Rhinolophus ferrumequinum: one gene and its partner. The protein of the gene in region 1 interacts with the protein of each later gene in a pairwise test. Links are inferred from orthologs where the notes say so. Each region holds a gene or a part of one and is shown on either strand. Other genes may lie near its edges.

Region 1 (6,484 bases):
CTTCTGGATTTAGTAGGATCTCAAAAGATGGACATCTTTAGTCACTGAATCTCTGCAGCCAAATAAGCATATTTTTAAGCCTTATTTTCCTTTTTATATCCTCAATATAAAATGGCTGCTGTAAAACTGAGACATTCATTTTACACAGGTATGAAGTTATCATATAATTCCTGCAGCAAAACATTTTTAACTGAAAATGGACTTAAAAGGGGAGAAAGAGCATTGATACATAACCTCCTAAATGCCGTTGTAGGATTTCCTAACATTTTATAGGCTAATATTTATTTATATCTACTGAGCCTCCGAACATTTGCCTTGTAGAAAACAAGCAAAAATAGAATACATTAAAAGGTACTGCAGTTTAAATTTACATAGTATTTATTATATAAAGCTTAAAGATAAAATAACTGAGGTTCGATTTTTTTTTTAGTGACATGGTGAAGTCTGAAAAGAATTCAGACTTTAATTGAACTGAAATTTTTGTAAGTCAGAAAAACCAGACAATACAATTTTTTAAATATTTTTATTCGTATACATGTATTTGATAACTTCAAATTTAGAACACAATCAGCATGAATAAGAACTATTCAATGACAAAGATTTGAAATGGATACTCTAGCCGGTTCATATTAACCTCCCCATGCGATTTATATCTGTATCTTGTACAGTGAAAACTTCTAATTTACACAGCTCTGTAACTGCAGTATTTTTCTAACACCCCATTTTGTAGTCTCAGAATACTTTTCAATTATACTGTTCCAGATGTTTAAAGATGAAAAATAATTAGCACTGTAAAGTGGAATGATAACATCTAATTAATTCACATTTTTCCCATTAATATAAATCAGGAACAATTTACAGTAAACACAAAAACCATTCACGATATTAGTAACAATAGTTCGTATTTTCACTGAACACTTCTTGTGTTAGCCAGGCTCTGGGCTAAACATCTGAACATGCAATTTAAGTACCTCGATAAGAAGTGTCACAAGTTCACATGTTTTTCACAATTGATGATGCCACGATGACAGCTTGCACTGAGCTCTCGGGTCCGGCATTTTACCGGGCATTTAGCTAGGACTCACTTGCGGCCGCTCAAGGTGCTCGCTTGCATGAGTTTACTAATGTTAGCATGAATACCCAGACCCGACTTCCCCCCAGAAAACAGGACTTGACTAAGACACGCGTAAAAGAGAGCACAGACAAGACAAAAGCGCTGTGATCTAGGTCTGCACTACAGCTCGGTTTCCTGGGGCTCAGAAGTGCCCCTCTAGGCCTAACTGCAGGAGGGCGGCCTCAGCCTCCTCCTCCTCCTCCTTGGCCTCCTCCTCGCGGATCTGCACCAGCAACTGGAAGAGGTTCGGAGCTGGCCCTTCCGCAGCCCCAGTCAGCCACAGCTGCCTTCGGATGGCCCCGCTGTGGTTGGCCCCGGCAATGACCTGCTCCAGGCGGGCCTGGTTTACGTTATCTTTATCTATGGCCCCTTTCTCCACCACCTTCTGCAGCAGAGGCTCCAGACGAATGACGTAAGCCGATAACTTTTCTCCTGGGTTCTGGTAAGTATTCAGAAATCTGACCTGCGCATCCCTAGAGCTCTCCACGCTTCCAAAAACCTGCTCAAGCGCCTTCAGGCATTCGGCGGTGGTTATCGCAGGGTTGTTAGTCTTGAGGATGCGGATGACATCAGCGGCAGGGCCCCTAAGACTCTCCATCAACCGCCGTCTCTTTTCCACATCAGACACCTGCCACTCCTCTATGACCTCATTGGTGTGCTCCAGCCAGGGATCAAAGGTCTCCTCCCCAGGCCCCGGGATGTCCCTCCCCGAGAACAGCGTCAGCTTCTTGTACCATATGGACTCAACAAGAGGCTGAATAACATTATCCAAAATATAGTTTAGCATCTCTGCTGGCATATCTGGGCCTGGGGCCGGAGCAGGATTCTGAAACCCAAGGACACGGGCAACATCTTGCACGGTCCACCCCTCTCTCGCTAGAAAGAGGTGCAACCTTTCTAAAAATTCGGCATCGGAAGTCGGGGGCTTAAAGACCACTTTCCAGACCCCTCCTTTACCTGGCATCTCCCTGGGGATGGCCGCGTAATCGACAGCGCCCGTGAGCTCTAACAAGGCTGCTTTCGCATTCTCTTCCCTCCAGAACATTCTCCCAAGCACTCGATAGGGCACCTGGGGCATCGCAGCCTGGAGGGTCTCTTCGATTTCAGCCTCATCACAGTTCACTGGGATCCCCCACACCAGCAGGGCTCTCTGGGAGTTCACATCCATCCCCCTGCACCAGTCTTCCAACAGCGTCATCGCCATTTTCCCAACTATCAAGAGCCCAATCCTACAAATACGGTTTAGACTGTGGCTCCCTGTGCTCTAGGGCTTAGGACAACAGCAGACACTCCCCTTTCACCCAATATGCTTCATGCAATCACAATTAGCAAATGACACCAGAGTCCCGCTCTCGTCCTTTCGCTGCCCCCTAAAGTCGGTGGTCGGCGCGTTCTCGCAGCAAAGCCTCTGGAATGCTCAGTCACGCGGCCGCGGCCATCTTGCGTCTCAGGTCGGGGTCCGCGGCCCCGGTCCTCCACCTGCACATATGGTGTCGCGTTGCAAGAGAAGGCCTGGAGCCAGGGCGGGCGGCGGAGGCTGAAGCTGTCGGGCTGGAGAGGCCGCCGGGGTGTGGTCGCGGGGGTGTGGCCGCCTCCTCTAAGCCGCCCGGGCGCGCCGGGCAGTCGCTGCTGCAGGAGTTGATCGCGCCGGCGTTCGCGATCAGAGCCGGGCCTTCAGTCGGCTCAGGGGCGGCTGCTTTGCAGACGAGGGTTCTGCCGCTCCTGGAGGGAGACTGTCCTGTGGTCGCAGCAGCGGCGGCAGGGCCAGTTCGCGAGCGGCTTCTTCGCGGGTGCAGGGGTCCCTCTGGGCGGCGAGGACAGCCGAGGACCGAGGACACAGGCACGGAGGCGCAGGCTGTGGCGGGCTTGCGCGCCGCTGCTGCCCCCAAGTCGGACCCGCAGCCAGCCGAGGAGATACTGCGGCAGTGGAAGGCGGGGCCGGCCGGGCGAGTGGCTTCCTCCCGCTCCGCCCCCGCGGCCCAGCTAGCTCCTGTGTAGCCATGGCAACGGTGGCCCAGACGACGCGAGATCCGCGCGCTCAGGCGGCCAGTGCGGTCGAGCGGTTGCCATGGTGCCAGCCAGGGGCTGCAGGCACTGGTTTCTCTGATGGCGCATTGCCTTTTTAATATTTTCCAGATTTTTTTTTTTCAGAGCACCGTGTTTAAGATAGTGATATACTTCTGGAGTGGATTTAAGATGATACTGTTGAAAATGCATCCGTCAAAGCAGGCTTGTCTACTCAGGTCGTTCGTACAGTCAATGTTACATATGAAAACACCCTGTTCAGCCCCGAGGCTTCCCTGTGCCACCTGATCACATCTGTACCCTCCATATTTCATCCCAATGAATGTTGGAAATGTGACATTTACATGTGTTTTTGTGAGACACTGGGTTGAGACTTGTCTAACATTTTGTTAAAAAAATCCATGTCAATTTAGTAATTTCTATAGCCAGGAAAACGCTAATGTGTTAATGTCCAGTCCTGGCATCATTGACAATGGGCTGATAAAACAGAATCCTTATGGTTCAAATATGTCGAGTAATCCTCTGCAAGCAAAACAAGGCCTATTTACGTCAATCCCAGATGGTGAAAATCTCCCCAAAAGAACACATCATTCAACTCTGAATTTTTAAAACCTTATGTAATAAAAGGTTTAAAGATACAGAAGAACATTCAAAAGTAAATAAGTTACATAGGTACATTACAATCACATCAGCAAGATTTTCTTTAGTGTATTAATTTTTTTATATAAAAAGCACACAAAAAATAAAATCTTCCGTCTGGTCTATCACAACTGTACAGCAAAAGAGGTAATATTTATATATATATGTACACTATTTTAACATGTAACAGTCTTTTTTAAAAAGGGTGCCACAGGCAGCAAACACACAAAAGGCAGTGTCTGTTCATTTTTTTCCAAAATAAAAGGAATATACTTATTTATATGCTATTAAAATATTTGTACAATAATTACAGACTGTCAAAGCTGTTCCTGTGCTCTGTTCTCTCCAACAAGGCCTTCAATTTAGAGACAAATGAGGAAAAGGTGAAACAGCTGCAAATTGTTAGAGGCAAATATTAACACAGCAAAATATGTGGAGGACATACAATTGTTTTATAAAAATATGTATACTTCCTGTAAACCTAAGGAGTTAGGCTTGCCAGTCTGGTAATAAATACCATCCGAGAAAAGTGAGCCCCAGTAAAAACATTTAAACAGCTGGGGCTTGAGTATGTATTGTATTCCTCCTTCATCTTAGCATCTGGCACATGAGAAGAAAGAGGTTAGGTCACTGAGGCAGTTAAATATAGGGGATACCTTTAGACATAAGCAGCACACGACCTCTGTGCCAGGGGTGGGGATGGGGTGGCAGAAGGGATGGGTGGGTACATTATCTGTGAGGGGGGCTGCTGAAGGCATGGAGGACAGTGCTGAAGCACTATCTCCTTGGGTGGGTAAGAGACCTCAGAAATGGTCTGGAACACAGGCACTAAGTTAGTTTCATGCCCTTAACTGAGTGCAGATGGAGGCTGGGAGATGGCTATGTGAGATGGTGTGGGGAGGACATTATAAAGCTGGAGATGTTTTGTCATTTAACTTCTTAAAGCAAAGAGCTCTGAATAGAAGAAGAAACAAAAGATGAGCCTAATATGTTCACCGGGAGAAAGCACCATAAAAAATATACCTATGCCAGCTGCTATGGCTGCACCTACTTAATTGGCACGTTACTTGCCACAATTGCATTTGCCCTCTAAACATTTTTAACTCTCACACTGCATTCTAGATATGTCTATCCTGGAACATGAACCCTTCTAAAATACGGTGTCTGGTGGGATTTATACAGAGAGGTGTCATCTTGATGTACTCTACCTACATTCACCTGGTCTGGTCTCCTATGAGCTTAGAAAAGGAGAATCACTCTAGACAAAGGAGGTTTCTGTTACATGTTCATAAAGGGGCCTGAAACTAAACACAATTTAAATAGAAAAAACCTTGGGAAACATAAGTAGCACTTTGGGGCAAAGCTGTGAAGGCACTCAGATTACACAAGTGATTTAGAAAAGAGCCTAAATTTGCTACCTCTCTGTTTTCTGGAGTGTATACCAGATTTTTGCAATCTTGGGGTATTGAACTTAACGAGCTTATAGAAGAAATTAACTGGGTTAGAATTTTGTTGCTCCCATAGCTGGGGTCCTGTAGGACCATATTAATGCATTAAATGAATGCTGAAAAATACCCGATAGTGCATAGTTTAGAAACAAAACAGCCTTCCACTCCCGGCTACCAACATGATGCTTTAAGCTATCTCAAAAGGAGTAGCAGAATGAGTACTTTTTGGCTCCTTCCTAACAGGTTGACTTGTCATATATCTACTTGCACTCACTTAGAGGTTCTTTTACACAACTAAAATTGAGTAACAAGATCAGAAAAATAACTCAGCCCTCCTGTGGGACTGGCAAGGGAAGGGGCCTCCAAAACCTTCCAGCCCTTTCACTCCAGTGAACTCCATGCCAAATACGGCTACTTCAAGCCAAAAACAAAACCAGACTTCTGGCTTCTAGCCATCCCCTCCGGCAATTTGAAAGTACAGACAGAGAAGAGGTAGCAACAAGAAGTGCCTTTGATGTCCCTTGCTCCTCCTAGTCTGTATGTGGCTTTGGTGACAACTTCCACCTTCCCATCCTTTCAGTGTTACTATCATTCTACTGGCAAGAAGTTCCAGAGCAACAAGGTGAGGGACCTTAGGGTCTTGGGAATGGGGGGAGCGGGGGGCGGGGAGATGACAAGAAGGTGCCTTGTTTTGGGATAAATGCACTTGGGCCTCTGAAAAGCAGGAGGCCCCTGGTCCCTGAGAGGATGTTAAAAATTAAATATTAAGAATAAATAAATAGCTCCCAAATGACCCAAGTCAAGAAATGAAGGCTCCTGTCCAATCTGGTTAGGAGACCTCCCCCTCCCAGGGAAGGATCCAGAAATCTCCAGCATGTAGGACTGGGGGCTGGGCTGTGGCTATCAGCAGAGACCATGTGGGGTGGGGTTAGGTGACAGTTGCTAAGGGCAGGACAGAAGCAGGCAGGGAACTTGCACCAAGGAGGGGCAGGCTGGGCCTGGGCTAAGCTCCCTTAGCAGCTTCCAGGGCCCAAAGTATTTGGCAAAAAGGTGGGAAGTAGGAAGATCCAAGGCTCATCAAAAGCTCCCTCAGGCCTAGCCCTGGAGCTTCCATCCTCAGCAGTTTCCTTACCTCCAGCAGGCTGAGAGCTTGGACAGGGACATTGGCCCTTTCCCCAAACATCAGAGAAAACTTTCCAGCCCCAGAAGGCTATTAGCAAGCAGAAAAGGGATAAGTACCTGTCCTTAGTCTCTCTCC
Region 2 (7,959 bases), on another chromosome or scaffold:
GGGGGCGGGGGTCAGAGAAGCCTCGCCAGGGGTTCTGCAGCGAGAAGCTTCCATCCCTGGGCTTGTGGGGGATGGTTCCTCCATGGGGCCAGCATTACATCACGGCCTGGCACACGTGATTCATCGGACCCGTGCAGATGGACAAAGTCTACAACAGGCCAGGGTGGTCTTCCCCAGGTGACCTGGGAGTGTGAGTTCTGCTCAGACGCCGGGAGGACGCGTGGGGACGCTGGGGACGCAGGCACTCGGAGCTGTTCCTATTCTCGGGTCTGGCCTTTCGGGGAAAGGCTTCGGAGGTTGGACAGATGGAGCCTGAACTCTGGGTCTGAATGTGCTGTGAGGGGACCTGCGTGGGGCGGGGCCACTTACACTTCCGGCATGGCGGTGGGCGCAGCACCTGGGGGCACAGGAGAATCATTCATGAGGACAGTTACAGCCCCACCCCCACCCTGTGTGTTCTTCAGGCAACAGGAAGAAGAAACCAGACAGCATGGGTCCCCTGGGTCAGGGTGGGATAAACACTTGTGCATCTTTCCAGGGGCTGCCGTTCACGCTCCGCGCAGTGTAACTGTGCCCAGGGCTGGTCTCCGGGGAGCCACATGGCTGGGAGTCTGGGCTGAGGTCGTGAGGACGCCCCACGTGGAGTGGGTGAGCAGGGAGGCAAGGCCGAGTGTGTTCTACCCTGATCCTCAGCCTGCCCCTCCAGGCCCGTTTCCTCTGCAAAATTAGGGCTTAGAGAAGTTTGCCACGTAACATTTAGCTCTTTAAAGCTTTGCCCAGACTGAGTGTCACCTGGAAGCAAAAGACAATCCTCCAGAGCAGACGGCACTGGTTACAGGGTTACCACAGGAGCCCTCTCCTCTGGGAGGACCCTTTAGTCCTGGCTGTTGGGGACCCCAGCCCAGGAGGGGGTCTTTGAGGCTGCAGTGGGGCCAGACTTGACTGGCCATCCTGCCTGGGCCTGGACACAGGGGGGGGGGGGCGTGGGGTGGTGTGCAGGGCAGGACAGGAGTCCGCCGCTGGGTCATGAGGGCCGGGTGGGGACCAGTGTGCATGGGGTCGGGGCACCAGGTCAGCCGTCCGGATTTGGTCCGAGAACCTGGTTGGGAGCAGGCAGTGGTTCTAGCAACTTCACTCCAGAGCCACCTCCTGACCAGGTGACCTCCTGCCTCTGCCTTAACGCTCACCTCTCCCTTTGTGCCCAAGAAGCACCGCCCCGCCAGGAGCAGGGCTGGCTTCCCTCCTGAATCTCCCACCAGAGACCCTCTGGGCCCTGCCTCTGCCTCTGCCACCAGGGAGAGTGCAGCCTGGAGAAGAGGGGGGTGGCCTGGAGTCTCAGCTGTCACCCTGGGCACAGAGGGAGAAGTGGGCGTCCATCCATCTATACATTCTCAGCATGCTTGGCTGAAATTAGATTTATCGCCAGCTGTTTATTCTGAGGGCTCTGCTCCTCCAGAGATACTGAGAAAATCAAAAAAGAAACACTAGCTGGGGAAGAACCACCCGGGGACGTCCATCCATCATCACTGCCCTCCCAAGGGTCCCGGGTCTCAGCCCTGTGGGCCTCCTGGCTCTTTCCCCAGGATGTGCCTCATCTTTGGTGGGCATGTAGCCATACTCAGGCCTGCCTCAGAAACCCCATCACCAGTGTGGGGCCCACCTGCCCAGGCCAGTCCAGGCCTCCTGCCAAGCTCCAGGGCCTGCCCCACTGACAAATGCCAGGCCAAGGGGTCCCCAGCCTGTGCTGTGATACCCACCAGACAGGACCCCTTGACAGGTCCTGTGGAAGACAGCAGGGACCTGATAAGAAGTCAGGATGTAGATAGCAGCAAATGGGCTGCTGGAGACCGGCATTCCATCTCCCCCAAAAGGGGCCAGCAAGGAGATAACCACAGACCCACAGCCGGGAGAGGAGGCCGGGGTTTGACTCAGAGCTGGGCTTGTCCTTCTTTGAGGCCCCGTGGGGCGGGCGGTGTATCAACTGAACCAACAGGACAGAGGCCGCGTATATAAGTGTGAGTGTGATTGTGTGTGTGTGTGTGTGTTCTCTGCACACTGCTCATTGGGGACACACATTTCAAGTGAGGCTCGTGTGCCTCCCGCTGCTCCCCACCCTGACCTTGGGTCCAGTTCCAGGGCACCCTGGTCCTCCCTGGCTGACCACACACCACACACCCATCTTGAGCTCTGACCAGGAAAGCCTAATCTCAAACCTGCTGGCAGGCACTGCCTGAGCCCCCCCCCCCGCCCCCCCAGCCACGGAGCCCAGCACAGAAGCTGCCCGCACTCGTGTGCAGACTCGCATGCCCCAACCCAGATGCTGTCGCCATCTGCCTGCTGCTTCTCAGAGCCAGGAGTGGTGGGAGGAGGGGGGCCTTCGCCCTCACCTGCTGTTGTCCTGCTGTCCAGATGGACGGCAAAGCGAGACAAGCCCGTCCCTCAGAGACAAAGAAAAAGAAGCAAGAGATGTCTGCGGTCAGCGGGGCTTGGGGTTCAGTCTTCCAGGCCCCCGAGTCCTGCTTGCCAGAGGACCTTCTCTCTGTCTGATGCAGGCATTGCTCCCTTTTGCTGCCCACCAGGCTCTTCCTAAATTTCCACACGCAGCCCCGCCCTGCCCTTTGATCCCCCATGCCGTCTCCTCCCCCAGGTGGTCTCTTCCTCTTGGGACTTGCTGGGCTGCCAGTGTGAAGACAGAGCCCAGCAGGCTCTGCCCTGGGCCCTTGGAGCAACTTGTGCAAAGTTCGGGGCAGGAGACGCGGCACCCAATGGGACATAACACCGTGGACTCTACGGCCAACAAATCCAATTGTACAGGCAAGAAATGCCTTCTCCCACCTCCAAGCCCTCGTGCTCTCCTGGAACCCCAGCCTAGCACCTCGGTCTGGGCTTGACCTGGATCTGAAGTTCGGAGCTGCAGACACCTACCTGGTTTGGTGTCCGTGAGCTGGGCGGGCGGTGTCCAGCAGGCGACTGCAGACTCTGGGGCCCGCGCTGACGGGAGGCTATGAAAACTATGGCCAATGGGAACTGCCAGTAAAAATAGCACAGAGCCGCTGCCCCTCCCACTGCACAGCTCCCAGGGCAGGCACCGCAGCACACGGAATGGGCCCACGGGCTTGATGACGTGTGCACAAGGCTCAGGAGGACACGCAAATCCTGTGCACAGAGAGGCCAGCACCTGAGTCAAGTCAGGGAGACAGAGAGGGGAGAGGATGGGAAGTAAGACGCAAGGGGGCCAGAGCAGTGACGGCACTGGGCCGAGGGGCGAGGGGCGGGGAACGTCTCCACGACCCTCCGTCTCTTACAGGGAGACATGGACATCAGGCCGCGAGCCCACGCCCCGATCTTTGGGGGGGACCCGTGTGGCTCTGGTGCCCGTGTGCCCGGGGGTGACGTAACTGTGCTGCAGAGAGGGTCCTTTGCTGAGCCCACGCCACAGCAACAGCTCCTGGAAGCCTGAGGGCCTGCAGGGGCTCTGCACCCCTCTCCAGCTGGGGTTCCAGGCATCAAGGCTTCCCAGGTTCCGAATGGCACCCCTCGTCCCAGGCTTGGATGTCAGTGAACTTAACTCCCCTCTCCCGCCCTCCCTTTGTCTCCAGCCGCGTGCTAGAGAACCCAGGGGGCTGGTGCCCTCGGGGCTGCACCTGTTTACGGGGTATTTTTAGGATGGTGGGTGAACACATAATACCCACCTATAGTCAGAGCAGGACAAGGCCGACTATGCTAATCCCGTGGCTATTATCGTCGGCCACCTCGTGGGCCAGGAGCGCCGGCTGGGCCAGGACAAGCAGGATGCTGACCCGCTGGAGGCCAGCGAGAGGCCTGGCAAGCCACGCCATGCCACCGTGTGCCCTGTGTGGTGGGGGAGAGAGCTGGCAACGGGTGTTCTAAGGCGACAGCCCCACCGTGCCCAGGGAGGGGCCAAGGCCCTGCCCCCTGGACACTGCAGCTCGGGTCAGGTCAACCTGGGGAGACGCCACTCTGGAAGGCTGCCAGGGAGAAGGGACAAGGTCTGGGAAGTCATGGTGGTGGCCGGGGACGCAGGCTTCCAGGTGGAGGGGCGGGGATGGAAAGTAAGGGCCGCCAGCAGCCGAGGCGCATCTGGGGTCAGAGAAGGAATTCAGGGGCTGGGGCGGAGTCCACGGGGGTTTGTGGCATTGCTTATGTTTTTAATTTACGCAAGAACTTTCTTACAATACCTTCATATGCACAAAAGAATGAATTGTGAGCAAGGTTATACTGCTTTTGGAAAAGGAAAAGCAGAGAGGAGACTGACACAGAGAAGAGCAAAATGTGGTCCAGACGTGAATACATCCAGAGGACGCGTCTGCAGAAACCACAGGGACTCACGGACTCTGAGGCTCATGTGTGTGTGTGGGGGAATCCTCCTCAAGTTCTGCAGGGGCGGAGTGGGGCCAGGCCCCTGCCCCAGGTCCCACAGTCCCCTCCCAGGATAGGGAAGAATGTGTCCGGCTGGAAGAGCTAATCCTTAGAAGGCCATAGCTGTGGAGTCAGGCCTGTCCCCTCAGTGGCCGGCACCTGTCAGCCCCGCTGCCAGGCATTGTCTGAGAAACAAGGAGCCCAAATTAGCCAGTGACCAGGCGCAGGGGCATCTGTCTTCCCGGCTCCCCTCCCCCCACGGCCGGGGCCCTGGCCTTGGTGACAGCCAGCACAGCCCCTCTCTGCCTTGCACAACCCCATCTGAAGCCGCCCCCCACAGTTGCTAGGCTGGGGGCTGGGGAGCTAGAGCAGAAGGAACAAAGAAAAGACCCAAAAAGTCGTCACCCCTCAATCTCTGCCACAAAGGGCCTCACTAGGAAGGCCAGTGGCACTGGAGACACAGCACAGGGTGCGTCGCACAAGCTCTGCCACCCACCAGGGACACTGGCTCTGAGCCTCCGTTTGTCCCTGTGAAATGGGGTAGCAGTCAGTCCCCCTCAGCAGGCTGCTGTGAGCTGAGACGGGGTTGTCTGCACGAGGCAATCGCCTGACAAACGTGAGCCACGCAGGCACCGTCCTCAGCCCCCTTCACCGAAGAGGAAGTGGGGCTCAGAACGTGAAGCAACTCACTCAAGGTCCCCAGGAGACAGGTGTGTCTCCACAGGTGTGTCTGCTGCCCAGAGCACGTGCCCCGTCAGCAGGGCCCGGTTATGGCTTCCGTGCTCTTCTCTGCGGCCAGCTCGCTGTGGACACAGGACTACACCCAGGTGGTAACCACTGGAACAGAGGCAGGGGACCAAAAGGGGCACAGTGCCTGACACATAGTAGGTGCTCAATAAATGCTCATTGAATAGCTGAATGGACAACACAGAGAGGAGCCTTCTGACCAAAGACTCTACAGGAAATTGCCTCTCAGGGCTCAGGAGGACGTCTTGCTTGCTCCCTGGGGGTCCTGAAATAAGGTTGGGGAGCTCATGGCTGAGGGTATAGGGGCAAGGTGCTCAGAAGGCCCAGGCACCAGCTGCCCCCTCCCCGAGGGAGGTGTTGTCACAGCCACAAGCTGACGTTATCGGTGATGAACAACTGTCCCCTCCAACAATGTTCTCAGACTGAAACAGAAACAACAGCTGGGCAGCTGGACCTTTGTTGATGTTAAACTTAGCCCCTCAGGTCACCCTGAGCTATGACCACCCCCTCCACCAGTGTCCAGGCCAGAGCCTGGAATGTCAGGGGACAGGCACCAACACAGACAAAGGGCCCTGGCCCTGCTCGCTTTCTCCTCCCCCGCCATGCCTCTCTGACCAAACCCCAGACCTCAGCAGCCCTCGTTCTCCGCTCACCTCACACTCCTGCCCCACGCCATAGCTCTTCTGCAGGAGTCTGGGGAGGAACGGCTCAGGAGGGGCCTTCTTCATCAGAGGTTCCAATGAAGTCCCTTCAGGACCCCCGCCAGCATGAGATAACCTCTGCCCAACTCCAAACCCCCTTCCCAGGATAGGGCTTCCATGGGCCCCTGCCCTTTCCACAGGGGGGGAGGGGGTGGGGAAGCTGCCACTTGCCTCTCAGGGCAAGAAAGAGAAGGCCTCTCCTTGTGTTCCTCCCACACCACAGCACAGACTCCCAGGCAGACATGGGTCACAACCTCTGCCCAACTCTTCTCTCCTTGTCACAGGCTGTAGGAGAATACAACCCAAAACCCTCCCCTTTGATCACCCGCTGTTGGTCCAGTGGGGAAAGGGTACCATTGACACAGGACTACACTGAGGGGGTAACCACTGGAACAGTCCGGGGACCAAAAGGGGCTCAGAAGGCTGGGGTGAAATGAATTCACCCTCCAGCCAGAGCGGGAGATGGGATGGCGTCTGGCCTAGCAGGACAGACCTGTCTCTTCTCAAACTGCGCCAGCAGTCACCGTTGCCCCCCCATGCACCCTCCGGAGAAAAGCCAGTTTATGGACGGGTGCCCCGAGGAAGCAAAGGGCTCATCCTATTCTAGTAAATATGGTCGCTGTGCACAGAGCTCCCTGCCATCTACCAAAGTGTGAAGCATAGCACTTCCAGCTGCTTTTCCGTTTTTACATGAAAGAATGACTGACTGAAAAACTATAGGTAGTTGGACTTGAATATTAGTAGATATTTTTTCAAAAATGAACAAAGTGGGCCTGGTTTCTCAAGGGAAACAACCGAGCATATTTGTGGCCACTTATAAAATTCCAGCTTTCAAGAGAAAATGGAAATCTTAGAGTATCCGTATCTGCCATGTGAGCGCGACAGCCTCCCAGACCTGCAGGCTCTTCCCATACGATGGGCGGTGATATTAAAGACTGATTTTTCACAAACCACTGTATGACGGATGGAATGTGTTAACATTGGGAAGATCTGCATGGCTCGGAGCGCTGATACTCTCCAAACGACCAACGCAGTGTTCCTGGAATCACGCAGAGCAAAGAACCCACCCGAGGTGGGGCCAGTTGGCTCAGTGGTTAGAGTGCAGTGCTCATGACACCCAGGTCACCGGTTCGATTCCCACATGGGCCACTGAGCTGAGCCCTCCACAACTAGATTGAAAACAACGACTTGATGTGAAGCTGATGGGTCCTGGAAAAACACACTGTTCCCCAATATTCCCCAATAAAAATTTAAAAAGAAAAATGAAGTCTGATTTTTCATTCTGTCAATGACAGCGAGTAACAGGAACCAGTCGAGAAACCCCTCATCTGCCAGCTACCGAGTGTGGGATTGGCCACCATAGCGAGCTCTGCGGATTGTGTGGTGTCGTGAGTTAATCAAATGTCCCTAAAATGACAAGTTAGGGAAATTTTCCTAAGGAACTACTGTGGTTTTCATTTCGGTCCTTCTCTGTGTGCGTCTTCGAGTGAGAACACTCGGCATCCATAGGCCTCTTCCCAGGAGCTGGAGGTGAAGTTCTGCTCCTGTCCACCAGAGGGCGCACGCGCGCGCGCGTGTGTGTGTGTGTGTGTGTGTGTGTGTGTGTGTGTGTGTGTGTGTCAGAGACAAAATGTGAATGTGACTTATTTGTGATCTACCGACTACAAGGTGTGATCAAACAATACAGCAAATGTTTAAATAAAAACACCTCTCTTCTGGTATGGCAATTTCTGTCCAACAAAAAAATTACGGTGTGCCCTCATCCAATTTATTCACGAGATCTGTGACTTCTGGCTCTTCCCCAAAGTCAAAATGATTCAGGACATCGAGGCAGCCACGACAGCGCAACTAGACACTCTCGAAAGAGGACTTCCAGAACTGCTTCAGAAAGTGGTAAGAACATGGGATAAGGGTGTTTGAAGCGAGGGGGGGGTCTTCTGAGGGGGATTAATGGCAATGTGTCCTTTACTGGAATAAGGTTTTTTTAATTTAAACATTCATCATATTGTCTGATCACATTTCATACCTCTTGGAAAATAGGAATATGATAGGAACAATAAAACATTCAGTAGAAGGCTAATAAAGTTGAAGAAATTTTCCAGAAAGTACCAAAAAAAAAAAAAAAAAAGAT

What was found.
Region 2: the proteins of PNMA1 (region 1) and TNNI1 interact in binary tests that used the Homo sapiens proteins (3 or more experiments, as listed by UniProt). The two-hybrid records come from large-scale screens. The link is inferred for Rhinolophus ferrumequinum from reciprocal best matches to the Homo sapiens genes PNMA1 and TNNI1.

What each region holds. Positions count from the first base shown.
Region 1 is NC_046289.1:24,573,695-24,580,178, reverse strand, and holds PNMA1 (paraneoplastic antigen Ma1), read right to left. Parts: upstream 2,403-6,484; 5' UTR 2,319-2,402; coding exon 1,257-2,318; 3' UTR 507-1,256; downstream 1-506.
Region 2 is NC_046310.1:929,090-937,048, reverse strand, and holds the start of TNNI1 (troponin I, slow skeletal muscle), read right to left. Parts: upstream 3,013-7,959; 5' UTR 2,926-3,012; intron 398-2,925; 5' UTR 381-397; coding exon 370-380; intron 1-369. UniProt on the Homo sapiens protein: Troponin I is the inhibitory subunit of troponin, the thin filament regulatory complex which confers calcium-sensitivity to striated muscle actomyosin ATPase activity.